2 linked regions of the Oreochromis niloticus genome follow. Each later gene encodes a partner of the first gene's protein in a complex. Links are inferred from orthologs where the notes say so. Each region holds a gene or a part of one and is shown on either strand. Other genes may lie near its edges. The genes, in order: taf8 and taf13.

The links.
Region 2: taf8 (region 1) and taf13 share a complex: the UniProt entries of both Homo sapiens proteins name them as parts of the TFIID basal transcription factor complex. The link is inferred for Oreochromis niloticus from reciprocal best matches to the Homo sapiens genes TAF8 and TAF13.

Annotation. Positions count from the first base shown.
Region 1 is NC_031984.2:7,318,330-7,328,923, forward strand, and holds the start of taf8 (transcription initiation factor TFIID subunit 8), read right to left. Parts: upstream 5,022-10,594; 5' UTR 4,901-5,021; coding exon 4,853-4,900; intron 3,093-4,852; coding exon 2,933-3,092; intron 2,644-2,932; coding exon 2,545-2,643; intron 2,460-2,544; coding exon 2,397-2,459; intron 2,285-2,396; coding exon 2,160-2,284; intron 2,047-2,159; coding exon 1,899-2,046; intron 1,788-1,898; coding exon 1,645-1,787; intron 1-1,644. Other genes in the region: g0s2 (G0/G1 switch protein 2), read right to left, coding at 5,694-6,047; camk1gb (calcium/calmodulin-dependent protein kinase IGb), read right to left, coding at 10,027-10,084, 10,172-10,521. UniProt on the Homo sapiens protein: The TFIID basal transcription factor complex plays a major role in the initiation of RNA polymerase II (Pol II)-dependent transcription.
Region 2 is NC_031984.2:31,661,965-31,671,452, forward strand, and holds taf13 (transcription initiation factor TFIID subunit 13), read right to left. Parts: upstream 3,390-9,488; 5' UTR 3,254-3,389; intron 3,175-3,253; 5' UTR 3,172-3,174; coding exon 2,797-3,171; 3' UTR 2,586-2,796; downstream 1-2,585. Other genes in the region: slc35h1 (solute carrier family 35 member C2), read left to right, coding at 4,558-4,668, 4,860-5,010, 5,779-5,842, 5,950-6,022, 6,648-6,816, 7,341-7,424, 9,178-9,353. UniProt on the Homo sapiens protein: The TFIID basal transcription factor complex plays a major role in the initiation of RNA polymerase II (Pol II)-dependent transcription.

The sequences.
Region 1 (10,594 bases):
TTAAGTTAGGGTTGGATGCAACCTGTTATGATGTACCTCTGGGTGCGGGTTTCATGCAAACATATGAATGCCACTTTAGATGTGATTAGCTTAGCTGAACATAATGATTGCAATTGTGACAAAGATACCCTATCAAAAAGTAGAAATTTGCCTATCAACAAACTAAAAGTCATTTACACAATTACATTGATTTCAAAGAATTCATAAAGTAATGCAAGCTTGATTTCCAGCAGTAACCAGGATACTAATTATAAGTAATTAGAGCATGAAACACTACTTGTTTGTTTGGTTTTTTTGTATGTATTAAATGAATGAAGCACGTGTCCTAGCTTCAGAAGTGTGTTAGCTTTATTTTAATATTTTAGCTGCTAGCTGTTTCATCCCATTTCTAGTCACTCTGTTAAGCTGAGCTGTTCCTTGGCTGTATTTTCACAATAAAGGGGGGCTGTTATGCACAACATTCAAAATAATCCTTATTAATCTTTTACTGGACTCTTTGTATGCCCCCCCCCTAAATTCAAGCAAGTCAATCCCCAGAAAAATCCAGCCACCTTAAATTTGGCAGCAGCTCCTAATCAAACTGCAGATGGCTGAGGCGTCTGTGCTCACAGCCAGAGCTGCTCGGTTAAGGATATCCACTCTCACATCTCTCTCACCATCATACAGAGCCAAGAGCCTGTGAGCCAAAAGCCTGAGCTCTTGGCTCACAGATCACCTGTGCTGAATCTTTGTTTGAAACTTTGTTTGAAACTTCTTTAATATGAGCATCCACCACTGTAACAGACAGGGTAGAAAATAAACAAGAAGCATTACAGGTCCCATTTAAAGGGTAAATATAAGGATGATATCAACTGTCAAATATAAATTTTCAGCATAAACAAAACTCTCCCATTTTAAAACTACTACTTTAAATTTTGTGACGTCTTGATGGCAACAGAATTCAACCAGAACATGGAAATGCACTATGACATAAAAACCCCTATGTTGAAATTACTTCAGTTTCATAAAGCCTCTTCTTACTTCGAAATTAGCTCAAATAGATGTTCACAAAAGCGCCATTATTAAAGTCTATGGAAGGCTTGAGTAGCTTTCAGTTCCTAAGAAAATCTACTGGTTTTCTGAGAAACTTCTTCTGGAAACTTCTGGCACATGTTTGCTAATATACTTGAGCATCTGTACTGAGACTCTCTCTGAAAATCTGATAACGCTGTGCAACTAATGGAGTTTAATACTGAAAAAAATGACCCTGAAATTCTGTTATCACAGTAATGAAATGAATCAGATTCTCACTTAAATTTGTTCAGGCTAATCTGCAACAGATCTTTCCCTGTCACTCTAGTAACAGTAAGAGAAGAGCCACAAAAATATAGAGATCAGATGATTCTGTACGCCTGCCAGGAGCAGCAATTTTTTTTCTGTTGCTTAAAATTTTAATGTGTGATACAATTTTAATAAAAGAAAGATTCAAGATTTTGTGAAATCTCCCAAGAAGATATTCATTTGCTTTACAATTCTTATATTTGCTGTTTATACCACATATACATCCATCTATCCATCCATCTATCTATAAATATATATATATGTATATATAATATACATACATACACATTTATGGCACACTAGATCCCGGCCAGGGAGACTTACAGTAATGGCGTTTCCTGCTGTGTTCTCGCCATCAGTCTGGTCATCCTGCTCAGAGGAGTCCGTCTCCTCCAGAGCCTGCAGTTCCAGCTCTGAGGGCAGGAGGGCACTGAGATATGGGATGGTGCTCGGCCGTGCTGCGATTACTGACGACAATCACAGGAATCAGAACTCATGAAAATGCAGCATGCTTCATTCAGTAATCACAAGACATAATCTGGCATTAAATAAAGATCAGCTTACTGAGATTCACTCACATGGGAAGGTAGTGATGTCATCTTTGAATAGGCTTTGAGTTTCTCCAGTCTTGGCAATGAAGCGTGTGAGTGCTCGTTCCACGTCTCTCCTCTGAGTTGCTGCCTTCTCTCTCACCACTTGGTAGTCTGACACGGGCTCTCTGAAAGTCTACAGGAAGAAAAACTCTTAAGTGGCTTACTTTTTAGTACAGTTGTACTTCTATAATACACAATCCAGCTTTCTAGGGATCTCCATAATGAAGTGGAAAAGTTCTGACTCACAGGTGTTTTGATATACGTGTGAGGGTCGGGGAATTCTGGGAAGTGGCTGGGGATGTGGGCTGGATGTGTGCGCTTCTGTCCAGCTGACAGCGCTTTGGGAGTCACAGGAGCATTTGTCACTGGAGCTGAAATTAAAAAATAAATAAATAAACATTTTTCACATCTAAAACCACTGGATCAAAAGGTCTCAAGTCATTCATTTTAATACTAATAATGGAGAGCTGAGTTCCTACTTACGGGCAGTTATGACCATCCTTTGTGATCTTTTAGCATATATGGGCAAAGTATCAACATTGAAACCTTTAATGACACAAACAGAATAAATCGAATCAGTATTGTGTTCTCTTAGCAACGTTTAATCCATATGTGTTATAGGAGGTCTTACCCATTTCAATAAGCGTGACCACTGTGTCTGACAGTGTCGGGACGCTCCTGGCTGTGTGTTCACAGTATGCTTTGGCACATCGACCTATTTCAGTAATATCTAAAAACAGAGACAAAAATAATCAGTTCTGTAAACATGAATCATCAACCAACTGCAAATTCAAGAAACGTCTGCTCTGAAAATAGTCTACAGGGGCTCAGTTATGTCAGTTTCTCAGCTTTTTTTCACCAACCTCTACCAAAATTATTCCCATTAGTGTTTATTTAAGAAAGTAGGTTAAATAAAGTGAGGTGCACTTGCACTGGTGTTCAGATATATATTGTAAAAGTGGCACTTAAAGATTTACAGCTTTCCCAGTGGATGGTGTATACTTAAAAATCATACATACAGCTCTGCAACATCTCAGTTAGGGTTTCCACAGCTGCCTTCTCTGCACTCTCGAAGCCACTCTCAGTCAACAGGGCGCTGACAACGACCTGCAGGGTTCGACGGCGGGCCAGGAGGTAGTTTTCTGCAGGGCTAGAAGTTGCTTTACCAGCACTTCCACGCTGAGAAAAATAAAATAAATGTGAATAAGGGTATACAACAGAAATACATATAGATATGCCGTTGTCTTAATGAGAAAAATATCTCCTTATAGTCACAACACACTTGGGACTAAAGGATTCTTTAAAAGGCTAAATAAACAGACACATGGTTCCAGAATCTTTAATTGACTTACAGCTAAGGGGCACATGGACATTAGCTTTTGTAATTTGAAGTATAACAAACAGAGCATAATGAGCCTAGCTTTGCAAATTTACCACACAGTGTATGTTATTCCCTTTGCTTGGTGGACACACCAATATGCCAACAATGTGCATGCACACTAAGGTTATGAGGGCTATTACCATAACATTAGAAATAAATGTGACTTCTAACAAATATAGTGGCAAGGAGCCTCTAAACCTACAAAATTGTCATATTTTCTACATTTCACAAACATTTCTCAAGAGTCCTTACTGAACAGACTTATTAAACATTCCCAGTGCTGGTGGTGAAAGTGGGAGAATATTTGGGCTCTGGGTGATTTAAAAAGGCATTTTGTTTATCTGAATCAATTCTATAATAATTAATTTTATGTTAATATTAAAATGTATTGTTCTAATTCACCATCCAGCTCTTAGTGAGCTTAGGATGGTGGACATGTTTCTGTAAGATACATTTGTGTAATTGAGAGATTTAATTTTTGCCACTGCAGCAAACTGCATTATCCCCGAGGTACTAAAGCAGCTTGAAACTGCAATGCTCACTCCATTGATTACACTGGAGACTGATGCAACAGTTCTGAGTCAAAGTGATAACACATACTGCAAATGCTCACTGAACCTTCCCCAACCATGTGGACAGAAAACACCTTTAAAATCTGCTGCTGTATTTATTGGGGGGAAAAACAACAAACAAACAAACTGGACTGTCCTCAACATTTTCATGAATCCAGACTTAGTGGCATGGTTAGCTCATGTAAACGTCAGGGATATCAACAAAGATCAAACATTTTTTTTGAATTTTCGTTTTTTTTTTTTCCGCCAGCATTTTTAGATCCAAATAGGCACGATTTATACTTTATAGGCCAAACAAAACAGACAAACATTAAAGCTGCCTAGGGGTGGTCTGACTGTTGGATTTCTTTGTATTATTGTAGGTTTTTTTGTCTATAATATAGAGCGCCTTGAGGGGGCTGTTGCTGTGAATTGGCACTATATAAATAAAATTAAACTGTACTGAATGGCTGTGCCACTTTATTATTAATAATAAAGGTGCTTTATAAATAAACTGACCTTGTCTAAAATGTTATTAATAGCCATCCCTTGTAGTTAGCAGACAGATGGAAGTTATAACAGCTCGAACGGTTTGTCGGTCTACCCCAAATATCGATGAAAAATACAAGAAGTGTTGCTAAAACCTTCATTCTCCCTAAATTTAGTGTTTGTGATATTGGTATAGACTCTATTTGTTCACAGCTGTAATTTAGATGAGGATGTGCCCATATGTTAAGACTAAAGAACATGTAAAACGTACCTCTTCCTGTCACTTTAAGGACACAAACATTTATTCAGACAGGGTAAGCACTGACATAGATAAAGTTAACCCACCTTATAGTCTATAAAAACGTATTTCAAGCTTTCACCGGACTAAATTATATTTATTTAAAGTTGTTAAATTGAATTAGGACTTCAGTGCAGTCTGACTGTTAGCCAAGCACCGCGAATCCGCCTCTACATGCTACATCCGCCTCCTCTCCGTGACCCAAAAACACATTTCTTACCGCTCCCGCATTCAGAGGGCCTCCCGACGCCACCGCAGGATCCGCCATCTGCAGTTATTAGAAACCTCCTCGTTGTTTTGACCAGATTTATATTTGTATCTCTCCGAACACCGTTTAGCCGCCGTTAGTAAACACGGCACGACTGTATGACGTTGTTTCCGCCACTCTAGCGGAAGGCGATCGTATCACACATGTTGTTTGTCTGTCGCCCCCGAGTGTTCATCTGTAAAACTACACCTGCTTCAACTTCTAATTTGTGAAAATCCTCTGCTGTAAAATTAATATAGCAGGCTTTTAATTTGGTAATTTGTAATGCAAAATAAGTACTTGGAAAAGGTATTTGTGATACTTTTTAAAATATATTTTTCAGTCATAGTTCTAAAATTATTGCATTAAATGAAGAAAATTGAGATTAAAAGATCAGTTGCATCTTTTTAGTTCCATTTTCTCTCTTTTTGCTAATTATAACACGAGGTCCGCTCTTTGAAGTAACCTACCCCACAGATTATATTAAAGTCATGGTCTGAGACAATTGTTTGGAGAAAAAAATATATTTTTATTAGGGTGCAAAACAAATTTAATCACACATATTCCACTTTTACAACAAATCTATCACATCACATTCACAAATATCTGCTGCCCAGCAGCCAACATTACTGTAACCCGCAGTCTTCACTGTATCTCATCTCATTTTTTACCCAGTCAACAGGAGCAAACTGCACATTTAACCAATTTTTGAAATAAAGAATGGGCACGAAGGGACCATTTCCACACAATGACTTGATTTACCAACATTACCATCATCTCTAGTGTCCATTTATGTGAAGAGGAGAAAGTTTCTTTAAGAAGCATGTAAGCGGTTGGCCGAGCTTCTCCGCCTTGAAGTCAAAAGATATTTGGCTTTTTCCTCAGGCATTACTGTATCCACCACATCAACAACTTCACTATCAGCAGAGGCAGTGTGTGGCTTCAGCACCTGCTTCTTCTCCTTCTTCTTCAGGATGATAAGCTCTGCTGGTTCATCCTCCTCAGTATCTCTCTCCACAAAGGGCAGGAAAGCCATCTCTACCAGTCCCCCGACCATACCAAGCATTGCCAGAGTAGAGCCGAGCATGTAGATCTTCAGCATGCTCCGGCTGGGTCTCTGTGTCAGCATCTCCTTCGCAAATGGGATGATCTCGCCAAAGTTTTCCATAATGTGTTGTCGATGAGTCTGTTAAAAGAAAAGGAACAATTGTAACCAGATATTCTGTAAACAGTACAAAGATTTACTCCTGACAACTAATCCATTTAATTAAAATGCAAAAATTCTACTATCCACAAAAAAGAGAGAATAATACTTACTTCAAAGCACACGCGCAAACTCTCTTATTCTCTTTTTCTGTGCGCTCTGAGTAATCAGGCTTTGCAGGCAGAGGCAAAGGCAGAGCCTGCATATTTAAACCCAAGCAGGGCCAGGTTAACGCCCACACTGGGGACACAATGCATATTCATGAGGCCACTTGTACTCCAATTGTTTTGTTGGAGATTAGAACTTGTTTGGGTAAAAGGGCAGACACATCCAATCCCTGTATGTGATGAAATGCATGTGATGTGACATGTTGCCTGAACTCTGCATGTGCAGTTCGTGCAGTAAACATTATATTGTTCTGACAGTAAGTAATGCTTTGCAACATTGGTTGGTACTCATTAACTTCTTCAAGCACACACAGGCACACCTTCTGTGTAAGAAAAGTTAAAAATAAATGAATAAATGATGTAAACATTCAGACAGTTAACATGTTACTGACCACTGAACAACATGAGTCCTGGGTTTGTGCCATGCATATTGATCTTTATCAGGAGAGCTTCATTAGTGTCCAATAAGCGTATGCAGGGCTGTGGAAAGCCAGCCCCATTTATTGGTTAATTGATATTGTCTGACAACAGTATTGGTTACACATGGAATACCCCCTATTGAACAGCAATAGATAAGCCTCATTAGAAGATAAGGGTCAATAGAATCCCCTAAAACATGCTGTCCTGAGCTGCTCTGCTCCTGGACCTAAATCTGTCCAAAATGCTGACAGTACGTGCGTGTGTACGTGTCTCAAACTCTCTGCCCTTTGAACCAGTTCCCTGCTGCACGAGAGAAGAGTAGCGAGTTGGGAAATGTGTCTGATCTTTGTCACAGAGACATCATCACTGAGTGAAAATGACAACCACACGTTGCTTTAACATCTGTACACCAGATGAATCATGCTTAACATTTTATCCAGTTTGACTTTTAGCTGTGCTGGTAGTGACCAAATACGTTACAATAAGTCTTTAACTGTCGTATTGCATATTAATATAATTTTCTAAGTAAAGTAGAGCAGTTATACAGATTACTCATGACATTACATTAAAGCATTACTTTTTAATTCAGTACTTTGAGATTTTGAACTGAATAAGGAGGTGAAGATTTTATGTAAAGAATTTCTTACTAATACATCAGGTCAGAGTAAAATACAGAAGAAAATGCTAAAAAGTATCCACACTAATTCCACTCTTCATAGCTAATCCAGGGACAACCTTTCACCCCGTTTGTCCTCTTTTGGATTGCAGGGTTGCCTAAAATATTGCAGGTAATAACGCAATAATTACACAGTCGATAATGTTCCTCTTTGAGCAACTCAGTTTGAGCTCTGGGCATTTATGTTTGCCACTGCTGGGAAAATGTTGAGACTGTTTGGAGACCTTTGCTCCATTTTTTTGTTACTTCTGCCTGAAATGAACAGTCTGTCTCTATTCTGGACTTCACCAAGTCACCATGCTGTGGTTGAGGGGGAAGTTTTATGGCAAATGTGGATGTGAAAACTCTTTCAACAGGAGCTAAGGGGAGAAGGAGTTTAGATACACAGTATTTAAAATGTTTATATGTGAAAATAATTACAGAAATTACACACACAGTGACTTTTTTATTTCAGAGATTTTAAAACTGAGTGTTTTACCTGTAACACAGTGTTTGCAGTTAGATTATTCTTGTTGAATCCAGCTTGGCAAATACAGGAAATTCATAAACGGGGTTAACTGAATAATAATGTAAAGCATATACCCTTTAAGTCAACATAAATTTCTCAGCTTTTGACTCCTATTCACATCTTATAATAAAAGCCATTTAAACCTGGTCACAAGGACATGTTTTGTATCTGTTGGCTTACTTGGCTTAATTTACTCCGTCTGGAACCTGCTGTTCTAAGTACATTGCTCCTTGTAATCCTGACTGTGCTGGAAAGGCTGAAGTACAGAAGTACAGCCTGCTAATTGGCTTGTTGGTTAGATTAACTGAGGTTACCAGCTCAGGTTAAATGAGTCCCAGTTTATGATGTATTTATATTAGGATGATGCTAAATAACATGCAAGTTTGCAGAAAGTTGCAGAAATTAACAAGAAGAAAAAAAAAATCTATATTTAGAAAGTAAACACGTCTGACCAAAGCCTGTTTAAACTGTACCCTGAGTTTCCTGTTGCCCACCTGGCAAGGATCCAGTGTGGCCTTCTGCTGCTGTAGCCCATCAGCTTCAGGATTCAATGTGGTGCTAAATGTGCTAAAAAGGATCAGTACTTTGTAAAATATGCAGACCAGCTCATCTGGCACAAGCAACCATGCTACGTTCAAAGTAACTTACTGCAAATCACCTTTTTTTTTTCTCATTCTGATGCTTGCTTTGTATTTTAGCGGCTCATCTTGACCATGCATTGAGCTGCCGGCTGAAATGTGATTGGTTAGCTAGTGTATGTACTGGCAATAGCTTAATTTAATTTACAAAGTTTACCATTAATTTGTTTCCCAGGAGTGAAGGTAAAACAACCACAGCAAAACAAATGCAGATCCTTTATTTTTGAGTATACAGAGATCCCAGCATAATACATATATAACATTAATATATGTTAAATCCATCATTACAAAGCCACATACTGAGACAAACAGCAGACTGCCCAAAGTAAACCGCTTACAATAAGTGAATAAAGATGTTTAACAATAGACTTTAGCTGAATGTAAAAGTTCTAGTAGGTTTATGGCATTTAATGAATATACTTGTGGCATTTACACTGTTAATGATAGGTTTGTTTAAATATACATTGTTATATATTTTTTTTATTTCAAACTTGAATTTGATCTGCTCTATTTTATTTTATTTTTTTTAAAAAGAAGCAAATAATTAAAAAAATAAATTAATGAAACAATTAACTTAAAGAAAGTAACAAAAATATGAGACAACTTTACCATATTAAATTACAACAGTATGGCTTATTGGATGCAGTAAGCATGCGGTTTTCTTATTCTATTCTATTGTGCTTACAAATGCAGGCTGGCTATAGAAAGTGCTTTACACATGATCAAGTACAATAATTGTCATTGACGTCATTGTGTGTATTATTTTAAGCATGGAATCATGAACACAAAGTGTTCGGATGAGCTGACTTCTGCCCCATCAAAAACCAGTGGTCAGGAACATCGTCACCATAAACGACACGGATAGTCATGCAAAGCCCGGCTAGAGCTGAGCCCATCTCATCCATCGCTTTCCCTCCTAGATCACACAGTTCTGTTGAATACTGTCAAAACTGTTCTGGTTAAAAATGAGACTCGTGCATCCGAGCATGTGAGTTTCGTTGTGGTTTGTGTACTTTGGTGTGGTTTTTGGGAAGCTTCCTAGGCACTCTCTCCAAAATAAAATGCCCCACACAGACTGTGGATCTCCCACACCGCTTGAATCAACCACTTGTTGTTCTCAGTACCTGGGAGCTGCTGACGCAAACCAGCTGTATGCTGGGTCAAAACAGCAACACTGACCTGTAGAGGGCAGAAACACATTCAGGGTGAGAAATAAGTCCGTATGGAGCTGAGAATTTAAAATAAAATACACTCAGCATGCTCTAGATTGTTTGCTTTAGGCTCCTCAGGTCACAGCCAGGGTGTTACCACACAGACACTCAGGTGTTTTGAGTTATTCTGCCTGATTTTCAGATTTAAATCAAGAATACCAAATACAATAAATAAAGAGTTCATCTATGGAGATGAACTGTAGTTGAAAAATAAAAAAGTATTATATAAATCTGAATATTACATGTATTTGTTCGTTATATCCACATGCTTTAAGTGTACCTACCAGGTAAAATGTTTTTTTTCCATGTAAACTCAGCAGCTTTCACATGATGGCACAAACACCAGTTATGGTCTTGCTATTATTGGTTTTTTTACCGTATCTAAAAGCAAAAGAGAAAAGTTTTAGTCAGCCATAATATAAACTCAAAAGGTCAAAGGTCACAATATGAGATAAAACAGCTACAAACCCATTCAGGTTGGCAGGCTCTGAGTGGTACACATGCTTTCCCTGTTCAGCTATTGTAGGTGCGTGTTGTGTGCTGCACTCGCTCTGACTGGTCTTCAGTGGGTGGCAGTGGCTCTTTAGTTCAACATGGCTTGTGGGCAAGGACATGTGATGTGTCCCCTGCACACTCCCGTTGACCTCTGGCACCTTGGGCTCAACCTTGTCTGGATCAAGATGTTTCCGGTTTTTCGTTGGGGAGGATACGTCGATGACCCTGATGTCTGGGATGCTGGCCTGCCTCAGGACCTGCTCTGAGTGGGCCAGCTGCAGCTTCTTCATGTGGTTGATGGCAACAGCAGCATTGTAGGCTTGCTGTAAAAGCGAATATAAAAAAAGAGGTTGAAAAATAGTCTAGCTTCACTTTAGATGTCCTTATATATGGTGA
Region 2 (9,488 bases), about 24 Mb from region 1:
ACTGCCTTTCTTCTCCATCCTTATAAAAGTCCTCAACAGACAGCTAGAGCACCCAGTGGGGGGTCGCTGGCTGGGCAACATCTTTTCCCTGGCTCGCTTGTAAATGCAGACATCCCCTAGATGCCATGCTGACACCCAGCCCTGTAACAGGACAGCAAGGCTGCAACAGGGTTTTTTTTTTCACTGCACACAGCTTTTGCAGTACGCATGGCATGTCGTGCCATCAGTGACCCCCTCCTCCTCTCTGCTGGTAAAGCTCTGATCTAGATGTAGTCTAGATAGACGGGCAGCCTGTTACCCGCTGCTTAGACCAATTAATTCAACCACTTCACTGTACAAAGAAGTAATTTGCTTGAAATAAATGAACTAACACATGCTCACTTGTAGTTGGTCTGTCATATTTATGGTCTGTGTAATAATTTTGTTTTGAGGAATATTAATAAAATCTGTTTCTTTTCCTCTTTTTGTCCGTTTTGTTCCGACCACAGCCAGTTTTGCTTTTAAAATAACCAAAAGCCTCGACTGAGGTCAGAATTATTTGGACATTACGGACAGTCGCAAAACCTCAGTTCATCACACATGTGGGCACAGATGAGGTCGGCATCATGTCTAGTATTCCTGGCTGTGTTGATAAAGTTTAATTGCGGGTTGCAAACTGTCTGCTTTGACAAATGTTTACGACACCTTTTCATAAAAAGTCTGGAACACTCCTGTTTTTGAATGCCAGCAACTTGCTCCTGAAAAGTTGGGACTGGAACATGTTTCCCACTGTGTTTAACAGCCCTCTGTGAGTGTTTGGGAGATGATGACACCAGCTGCTATAATTTTACAAGGCAATGGGCTTTTTTGGGTTAGTTTTTCCATTCGTGCTTGACATTCAGCTGCTCAGCAGTTTGTGGCTTAATTTCCTGTATTGTGATTTTTGTTTCATTACCACAGCGTGTCCAGAAGGGGGACATGAAGAGCAACCCTCTTTGTGTCATTTACACAACCTTTCTTTAGATACTTCACATACATTTGAGGATTCAATCTGTGGGTTTAAGTTAAATACTTAATTTTTTTTTACTTATTCAAAGTAAAATTATGCTTAAATTCTTGTGCAGATCCACTCTTCACGTATCAGATTGGTAACACAGCACAATGCTGTGCTTTAAAACAAAAGTGTTATGAAACACACATTCACCACAGAACCACGCTGTTATAAATCACAGTGCTTGAGCACTGCCCTACTGAAATAAGCTCCAGTGACTTATAAAATGGAGCTGCTGAATTTCGGATCACCGGACAGCTGCTTGTCTGCTTTCTCCCTCCAACACCAATAGTTACAATTGAAGGGCTTCACCTCTAGCTACTGGTGAGCTCATTAGCAAAGGCTGTCTGATTTATAAAATACTGTATATTGTGTCCTCGTGCGATTTCCAGCAGTGTCTTTGAACCTAATGCCCACAGAGGACCTAACGTGCATGGATTTCCACTTTGCCTGAGTTCTTTAACTCTGTAACGCCAAGAGAATCGGATAATATTTGAAAGATAGGTTTTGTGAGATTTTAAGACCTCTGCATCACCACTGAAAAACATAAATAAGTTCCAGCAAATAAATAGAAGAAAATAAACTGTAGAAAACTAAAGAGAAGAAAGAAGAAATAACAGTTTAACATAAACCAGTGACACACTCCGGGGCCTGATCAACCCTGACAGGGCCTTCTTGGATGAGGGTGTCTAGCGATAATGACTGAAACACCCGATGAATCCAAGGTCCACTACTGACCATGTGTCCCAAATTTTAATATGATAATCTAGATCAGATCTCTAATCCCTAAACCTAACCAAGGAAGTAAAAAGATGGCAGATTAGCTTGGGTAAAAGACCGAAAGTTGAGGCACACAACGATGTGTGCCGCTGGTTTCTGGGCTGCCTTTCCTCATAACAGCCATCCCTCAAGATTTTCACCATTTAAAGCAATGCATTATCAGGGATTGTAACATCTAGTCCTTTTACTGAAGCCACAATAGACTACCAGATGTTGCAAATGGGATTCAAATTTAAACTCACATTGCAAATTGATATTTCTCATTTTAATAAATTAATGACGAAGCTCAATAAACACTCCAGTTTCAAATTATATTAATTTTTCTGACAATGATTTCATAGTTCAGGCTTGTCAGGGTTAATGCGTTCAAGTGAAAGGAAGGGGAGTGTTTCTTCATTAAATAAATTTTTTCTGTGATTGTTTGATGTTTCATCTGCATTTGTGGATACTGTGACCACAAACGCAGTCCATGCAGTGATTTACACTAAAAAACCAAAAATAAAGCCCCATCCTTTAAATTGTATGCTAAGAAATGTTAAACTGTTGAGCTCTTTAACACCCAAGTCCCTCCGAATGCTGAACCCTGTTCACTCCTAGAATCCTATTAAAAGAACCACAAACATCAAATTGGGTCATTTTTTTTAAACAACTGAAAAACTCATTTGTTAACATTTGTGAGTTCACTGTTAATTTTTCTAAGCCGATTTCAAAGATTTCTTGTTGTGATGCTGAATAACGGGGTGTTTGCGCACAAGAAATTAAGATGAGGACCTGGTCACTTTAAAACTATTGGCAAGTCGCTTTATTTTACTTAACCAAAAAGTCTGAATTCAAGCATATACACTGAAATTTCTTGTTTTACTGTCTATAAACACACACGAGACACAAACATGCAGTCTGAAGACTGAAGAACTGACGAGCACACGTACAGTAAATTTAAAGAAACAAAGGTCACGGGAGGAATAACAAACAGTCCCGTTGTGATTTTAAGAGCCATAATTTGCTTCATCGAAAGCTTTCCGAGCTCTCTTCAGCTCCTCGTTCATGGTCAGCAGATCTTTGACTCTAGCAAACTTCCTGGGATCTTTGCGAATGAGGAAAACGATGTCCTCCACCTGGACGCGACCCTGGCGCCCGATAGACATGGCCTTGTGGGTCATTTCCGTGATAAACTCGATCACCAGATCCTCCAGAATATCCACAGACTCCGTGTAAGGGTTCTGGTCGTCTCCAAATCCGTACATCATGCACCGGAGCTCCTTGGAGAAGAGTCTCTTTCTCTTGCCGTAGCCGACATCCACCCCGCCGGAGCCGTCCTCCAACTCTTCGTCGAAGCCTGGCTCGTCCTCCTCCTCCGCCATTTGCTGAAAAACACCCGCAAGCGTTATTCTAAACCTCAACATTACCTGCTCATTGTTAAATACGCGTTAACATTAAACTTACCTTGTGCTTGTTCACAACTGTCTCACAACAACAGCTTGTTATGTGCGCCGACTTCCGCTTTTGTTTCCTTGACTGAGGAAGTGGTGGTTTGTAGAGGAAACAGACAGGGCTAGAAATCACAGATACTCCCCCTTGTGGCCATCTCTCGCCAGTGTTTAAATTTACTCGTGTTATTCGCCAACACAGCTGAGGCGGTAATGCTCCTTTACGTTGGTTGCCAACCGCCGTTAAACACAAAGAAGAAGAAGAAGTGAAGAAGCCAACACAGCTGACGGTGAGTTTCCTTTAAAGCGCGATCTGTTTGATTGTATCGGAAGATCGAACTTAATTTAATATCGCCTGGTTTATGCGGGAATCGCCGACACGTAGCTTGCTTAGAATGTAAAAAAAGCTACGCCATTTTCATTTGGTTTTACTTTAGCTAAACCCTAGACCTAGACAAACTATGCACAAAGGGCGATGACAAGTTGGCGGTGTGAGTGGAAACAGAAGCATTGTTCATGTGGCTGAACAAGAACAACACCTCACAGCTAACGTGGAAAGAAATGGATCTCGGTGCTTGAACAGAGGGTTCAGATTCCAAGTAAACACTGAGAGCCTTATCGCAAGGGCTCAGCACGTGCACGTTGCCGTGAGTAAGTGACACGTCCCCGTGGATCTTGCTGTGGACTCCTGCCCCGCCAAGTGATGTTCAAAGCTTATCTCAGTCAACCGGATTGAGTATTATAGCTAATTACTGACCTGATAATGTTAACAAGTTAATATAGATGCTAAATGGCAGGCTAATGTTAGCTAATGAACTATAAGGCAAGTTAACAAAGAAACCAGTTTGACCTATAAAACGTAGCAGCTATCCAGTGAGCCTTCCTCTCTCAGTCACTCTTGGAGGACTGTTGCTGGTGAGTTCGTCTGCTGGGGCTGTCTGATGTTCCTGTTAGTTAACGCACAGTGTTTAAGATTAGCACAACATTGTTACCAGCTGCTTATCCGCTAGCAGACGCAGTTAAGAGATTGCTAGTAGCTGATAACGTTTAATTTGAGCTAAAATGAATGTTGCCGTTATGCTAACATTGTATCAAATAGGTTTCGCTTAAATTCTGTCTGAGCGCCTGTTCCACTAACTGGCATTAATGTGCACAAACGCAGTCCTGCTGTAACCTTGTTTTTCTTCTCTGCGGTGTTTCTGTTCCTTTTCTGCTGTAAAGAGGTCTGGTATGGCTGTTCGGGGAGGATGTGGGTTCAGGTCGGAGATGGCCCCTCTGCAGTAGCTGTGTGTTGTGGACAGCTGGTCCTGGCAGTCCTGTATGGCGTGCCCGGTCCAGTTCCTGTGCAGGGGGCTGCGCACTGTTGGATTAGTTCTTCTCTACTATGTCTTCTCTATAGGCATCACATTCTATAACAAATGGCTAATGAAGGTGAGTAAAGAAGCTCATACAGCCATGTCAGTTTCCTATAACATGCTTGGTTGTATTAAAGGTGATTAATGAAAATAAGCACCTGAGGGCGCTCTGCTTTGCTTGTTTGGGAGTCTCCTGGATCCTGAGAAGGAGACCTACACTGACTAGGCCATCCTAGATGACCCCAGCTGTCTCTCTCCCTCTCTCAGGGCTTCCATTACCCCCTCTTCATGACTTTAGTTCACCTCACCATCATCTTCTGTCTGTCAGCTCTGACACGACAGGCTGTGCAGTGGTGGACAGGGAAACCTCGTGTTACTCTGAGGTGGAAAGAGTACCTCAGAAAAGTAGCACCCACAGGTGAGTTTTATCTTGAGTCGGGAGACTGGTGATTTAGACAAGGGACAGTCGCCTCTTATTGGGTTCACCGATTGACTAAGCTCTGCGGAATGCTTCGTCTAAAGTCTGTGTGGAGAGAATAAAAACGCCAACCCTGAGGAGACTGATGAAGATATGTAAAAGCAAGCGCATTAAATGAATCGTTCCAAACCAGTTTTGCCTCGTATAAACTAAAATTCTGCCCAAACTTAAGTTGTAATAAGATCAGTTGAAATAATCCCACACTGAGGAAATTTACCTGTTAGAACAGCAAAAGAGTCAGAAGGAAAAAGTGAGTCAAAGACTGAGAAAAGCAAAAATTCAGAGTAATTAAATCAAAAGTAATTAATATTTTGTTCCGTTGTACTGTATACACTAAAACAACATCAAGGTGATTTTAATATGTGAATAAAGGGCAGTGGGATTGATTATATACATGGTAAATGGTAAATGGCCTGTATTTATATAGCGCTTTACTAGTCCCTAAGGACCCCAAAGCGCTTTACATATCCAGACATCCACCCATTCACACACACATTCACACACTGGTGATGGCAAGCTACATAGTAGCCACAGCCACCCTGGGGCGCACTGACAGAGGCGCCCCAGGGTGCGCCCCATGTATTTTTTATTTTTTTTTAGTGGGTATTTGTGCTCTAAATGCAGTGAAATGAGTGGTTTTAACTGTGTTTAAGTTTTAAAATGAACCTGTCATCCTGTACTTCTAAATTCTGTCCTTCTTACCCGCAGCCATCGCAACAGCGCTGGATATCGGACTTTCCAATTGGAGCTTCCTCTTCATCACCATTAGCCTGTAAGTTTGTGGTTTGGAGATTTTTATTAGAAGCTCAGTATTTTATCTTAACCAGTCACTGTATTGTTCCTTACATATTCTACGACTTTTATTTTGTGTCATTCAAGGTATACCATGACCAAGTCCTCAGCAGTGCTGTTTATCCTGTTTTTCTCTCTGGTCTTTAAACTGGAGGAGCCGGTGAGTGTACTGATCACATGACGCTGACAGCAGTGCTAACAGTGCAGTTTTGTCTTCACTTTAATGTCACGCAGACACAACTGGAGAATTAAGCATGCTTCTCATACAGGCAAAATGATACAAGAGGCAATTCTTTTAGTCTGTTTTCTCGATTGTGGTGCATTGCACAAAGCAGGCATCCAGCAACGTTCACAAAGTGCACTGTGGCTGTAGCAGAACATGCGAAATTTCTAATTTGAAAACAGTGCTGCACATGCAGCGGTGATGGATCGGTTATAAATATGCCAATTTTTCTTAATGGTGTCATAGCTTAAAGATTCGATTCAGTTCAACTTTATCTATATAGCACCAAATCACAATAGTCACTCACTATGAGGTGTTTGAGCTCTCACTTCAGTTTTGTATCACTTCCTGTTACAGAGCACAGTGGTGTTTTGTGTAGCTTGATGGGGGTTTCATCACATGAGCAGTAATGAGCAATCCTTACCTCTTGTCTAATCTCTCCTCTAGTTTGTGCTTTGTCTGTTCTTCTTTTATCTGCCATCCTGTTTCTTTCTTCTTCTTTTTTCTGTTCAATTTTAACTTGAAACTGCTGTGTCATTGTCTTTTCTCCCTTTAAATCCAGAACCCATTTCTGATCCTGGTGGTCCTGTTGATCTCCTGCGGTCTCTTTATGTTTACCTTTGAGTCGACCCAGTTTAACCTGGAAGGCTTTATTCTGGTGCTCCTAGCATCCTTCATAGGGGGGATTCGATGGACCCTCACTCAGGTCCTCACGCAGAAAGCCGAGCTGGGTAAGTGTTCAGTCACTGTGGAGTGAGGGCTTCCAAAGAGGTTAAAAAGCCTATAACCTGGAGCTACACCAATTAATTTTGAGTTGTGGCTTTCATCAGGTATACAGTAAAACATGATACACACCATTTCAAAGAGGATTGGTGTGAAATACAAAAAAAAGAAAACAACTATCAGAGAGACCCAAAATATCCTGTTATGTGGTTTCAACCTAGCCGTCATCCTTGAATGGTCTACAAAAAGTTAACAAGATCCACCAGTGATGGCTCTAATGCAGGTTTTGACACAACATTAACAGCAGGTAAAGTTGGGTTGTTGCTTCCCACTGTCTTTCCTCTGAGTTTATTACAGCAGCATCCATCCATAAGCATTTACAAAGTAAAACACATTGAAGCCCAACAGCAGTAACTTTAACTATATGCCAGGCTTGTAAAGCACTGATTTAAAACTCTGCTATGATTTGAGATTTCCCAGCGGGGACACAGTTCCCTCTTATTTTCATCTTTTTCATGCTGCACTGTTTTAGGCCTTCAAAACCCAATAGATGCCATGTACCACCTCCAACCTCTCATGTTCCTTGGGCTCTTTCCCCTCTTCCTGTTTAATGAAGGTGAGTATAGAATAAGTTCATTTTCTTTCATGTTTTGTCGCTGCGTTAAATTAAGCTCTGTAGCCCCTAATTATGGCATTACAAGTCTTTTGAAAACCTTTACAGACCCCACTATGCAGTGTGATGGTCATTTTCCATTTAAGAAACTGATTAAGTGTCAACAAGGTGTCTATTCTGACACCCACACCTCATTTACATGTAAATAGGAAATAGTTCACATGTGTAATAGATCAGCAGTAGTTTCTCAAGCCCAAGACCCAACGTGTAAAAAGTAGTGAAATTTAGAACACAGACCTGATTGGTTTCGGGTTTATGACTTGAGCACAACACAACAGCCAGTGTGTTGAAATTCCAAATATGCTGTAGCACCCTACGAGCTCTTCTCATTTCTCTCCTTTGAGCTCCCATGTAAAGTCTCTCCTCCGTACTCCCACCTGTACATCAGTTGCAGTGCAGAATCTTAAAGGCTGTCTCAATTCCTAAAACGTATGACATGGTAAACAAAGGCAGAGATCCATGCGTCACATTGTGCCACGCTGTGAATGTAATTAAAAGCAAAAAACTGGGCCAGTAATGTAGCCACAGTTCTTTTCACCGACACTGCTTTAAAGGCTGCAAGAATCTCGCGTTTTGTTAAACTCCTGTTGCCTCGTCTTCTCTCACCTCGCGGTTCATCCTGGCCTGGCAGATCAGAGATGACATGAGAGCGAGAGGATTGGGCACAGGAACAAGAACAAACAAGTGTGTGGGACAAGTATGCATTTGTGGACGTTGGAGTGGAAGGGGATTGTTTGAGGTGTGGTCCAGCTGCCTTCACTTCAGATAAATGATATCCCAAATTATTTATAATTTATAAAAAGGAATTTACGAGAAGTGTTCTCACTGTGCTTAAGAGACATTACATTTGATTATTTTGAATGAATTTTTTATTTTGAAAAATCACTTCACTGATGCAGTGTACTGTAAATGCACTCCATCACAGAGGTGTATTTCAGCCAGCTGGTATCATTCAGCTGACTTATCAGAGTCAACTGAATGATATGATTTTTGGCAGTTCTGAGCATGAGGTGGCGTCCATGTGAATAATCTGCCCTGACTGTGGTAATAGAGCTGTGTTCAAAGAGTGGGACTGATTTCAGCTCGATACGAAGGGCAGCCTTACTGAGGGGATACTGGACTTTTCAAAAGACATGAGTGGGTGCCCATTAATCAAGCAGCTGCTACAGGGCTTTGATAATTCTCCACTTTCTGCAGCTGAGCTGAACCCCTGAGAAACTACTGCTGATCTATTACACATGTGAACTATTTCCTATTTACATGTTAATGAGGTGTGGGTGTCAGAATAGACACCGTGTTGACACTTAATCAGTTTCTTAAATGGAAAATGACCATCACACTGCATAGTGGGGTCTGTAAAGGCACATCAGTCCTGATGTAGCTCAGTGACGGAGGGCCTCTGCTTTTGTGCCACAGTCAAGCACGTAACATTGCACACCAGAGATGTAATCTACAAATAAAGCACTGCTGATTGAAGCAGAAGTGGCAGTGTGATTCACCACATGCCTTTCATTATGAGAACAAAAAGGAATTCTTTTATAAAATCTCTACAAGATATTGGACTTTCAAAAGACATGAGTGGGCAAGCCCTATAAGCAGTCTGTGGAAAACTATTGTAACTGCGTAACTGCCGATCTACCTGGAGTGCTGCCACTTCTAAAAGACTCTGTCCTGATTCTTTCCTCTGTGCCTGCAGGGCTGAGCCTCAGCACCTCAGAGAAGTTATTCCGGGTGACGGAGCTCTCGCCTCTCCTGTATTCCCTCTTCACATTAAGCATCGGCGGTTCACTGGCCTTTGGTTTGGGCTTCTCTGAGTTTCTGCTGGTCTCCCGAACCTCCAGCCTCACCTTATCCATATCAGGGATCTTTAAGGTAATTACTTACTTTGTGTTGTCAACATCTTTTTCTTCACCTCCAGCTGGTGGATGGCTGCCACTAGAAGTGCCTTGAGGTGACTGTTGTTGTGAATTGGTGCTATATCAATTGAATTGAATTAAATTGGTGAAG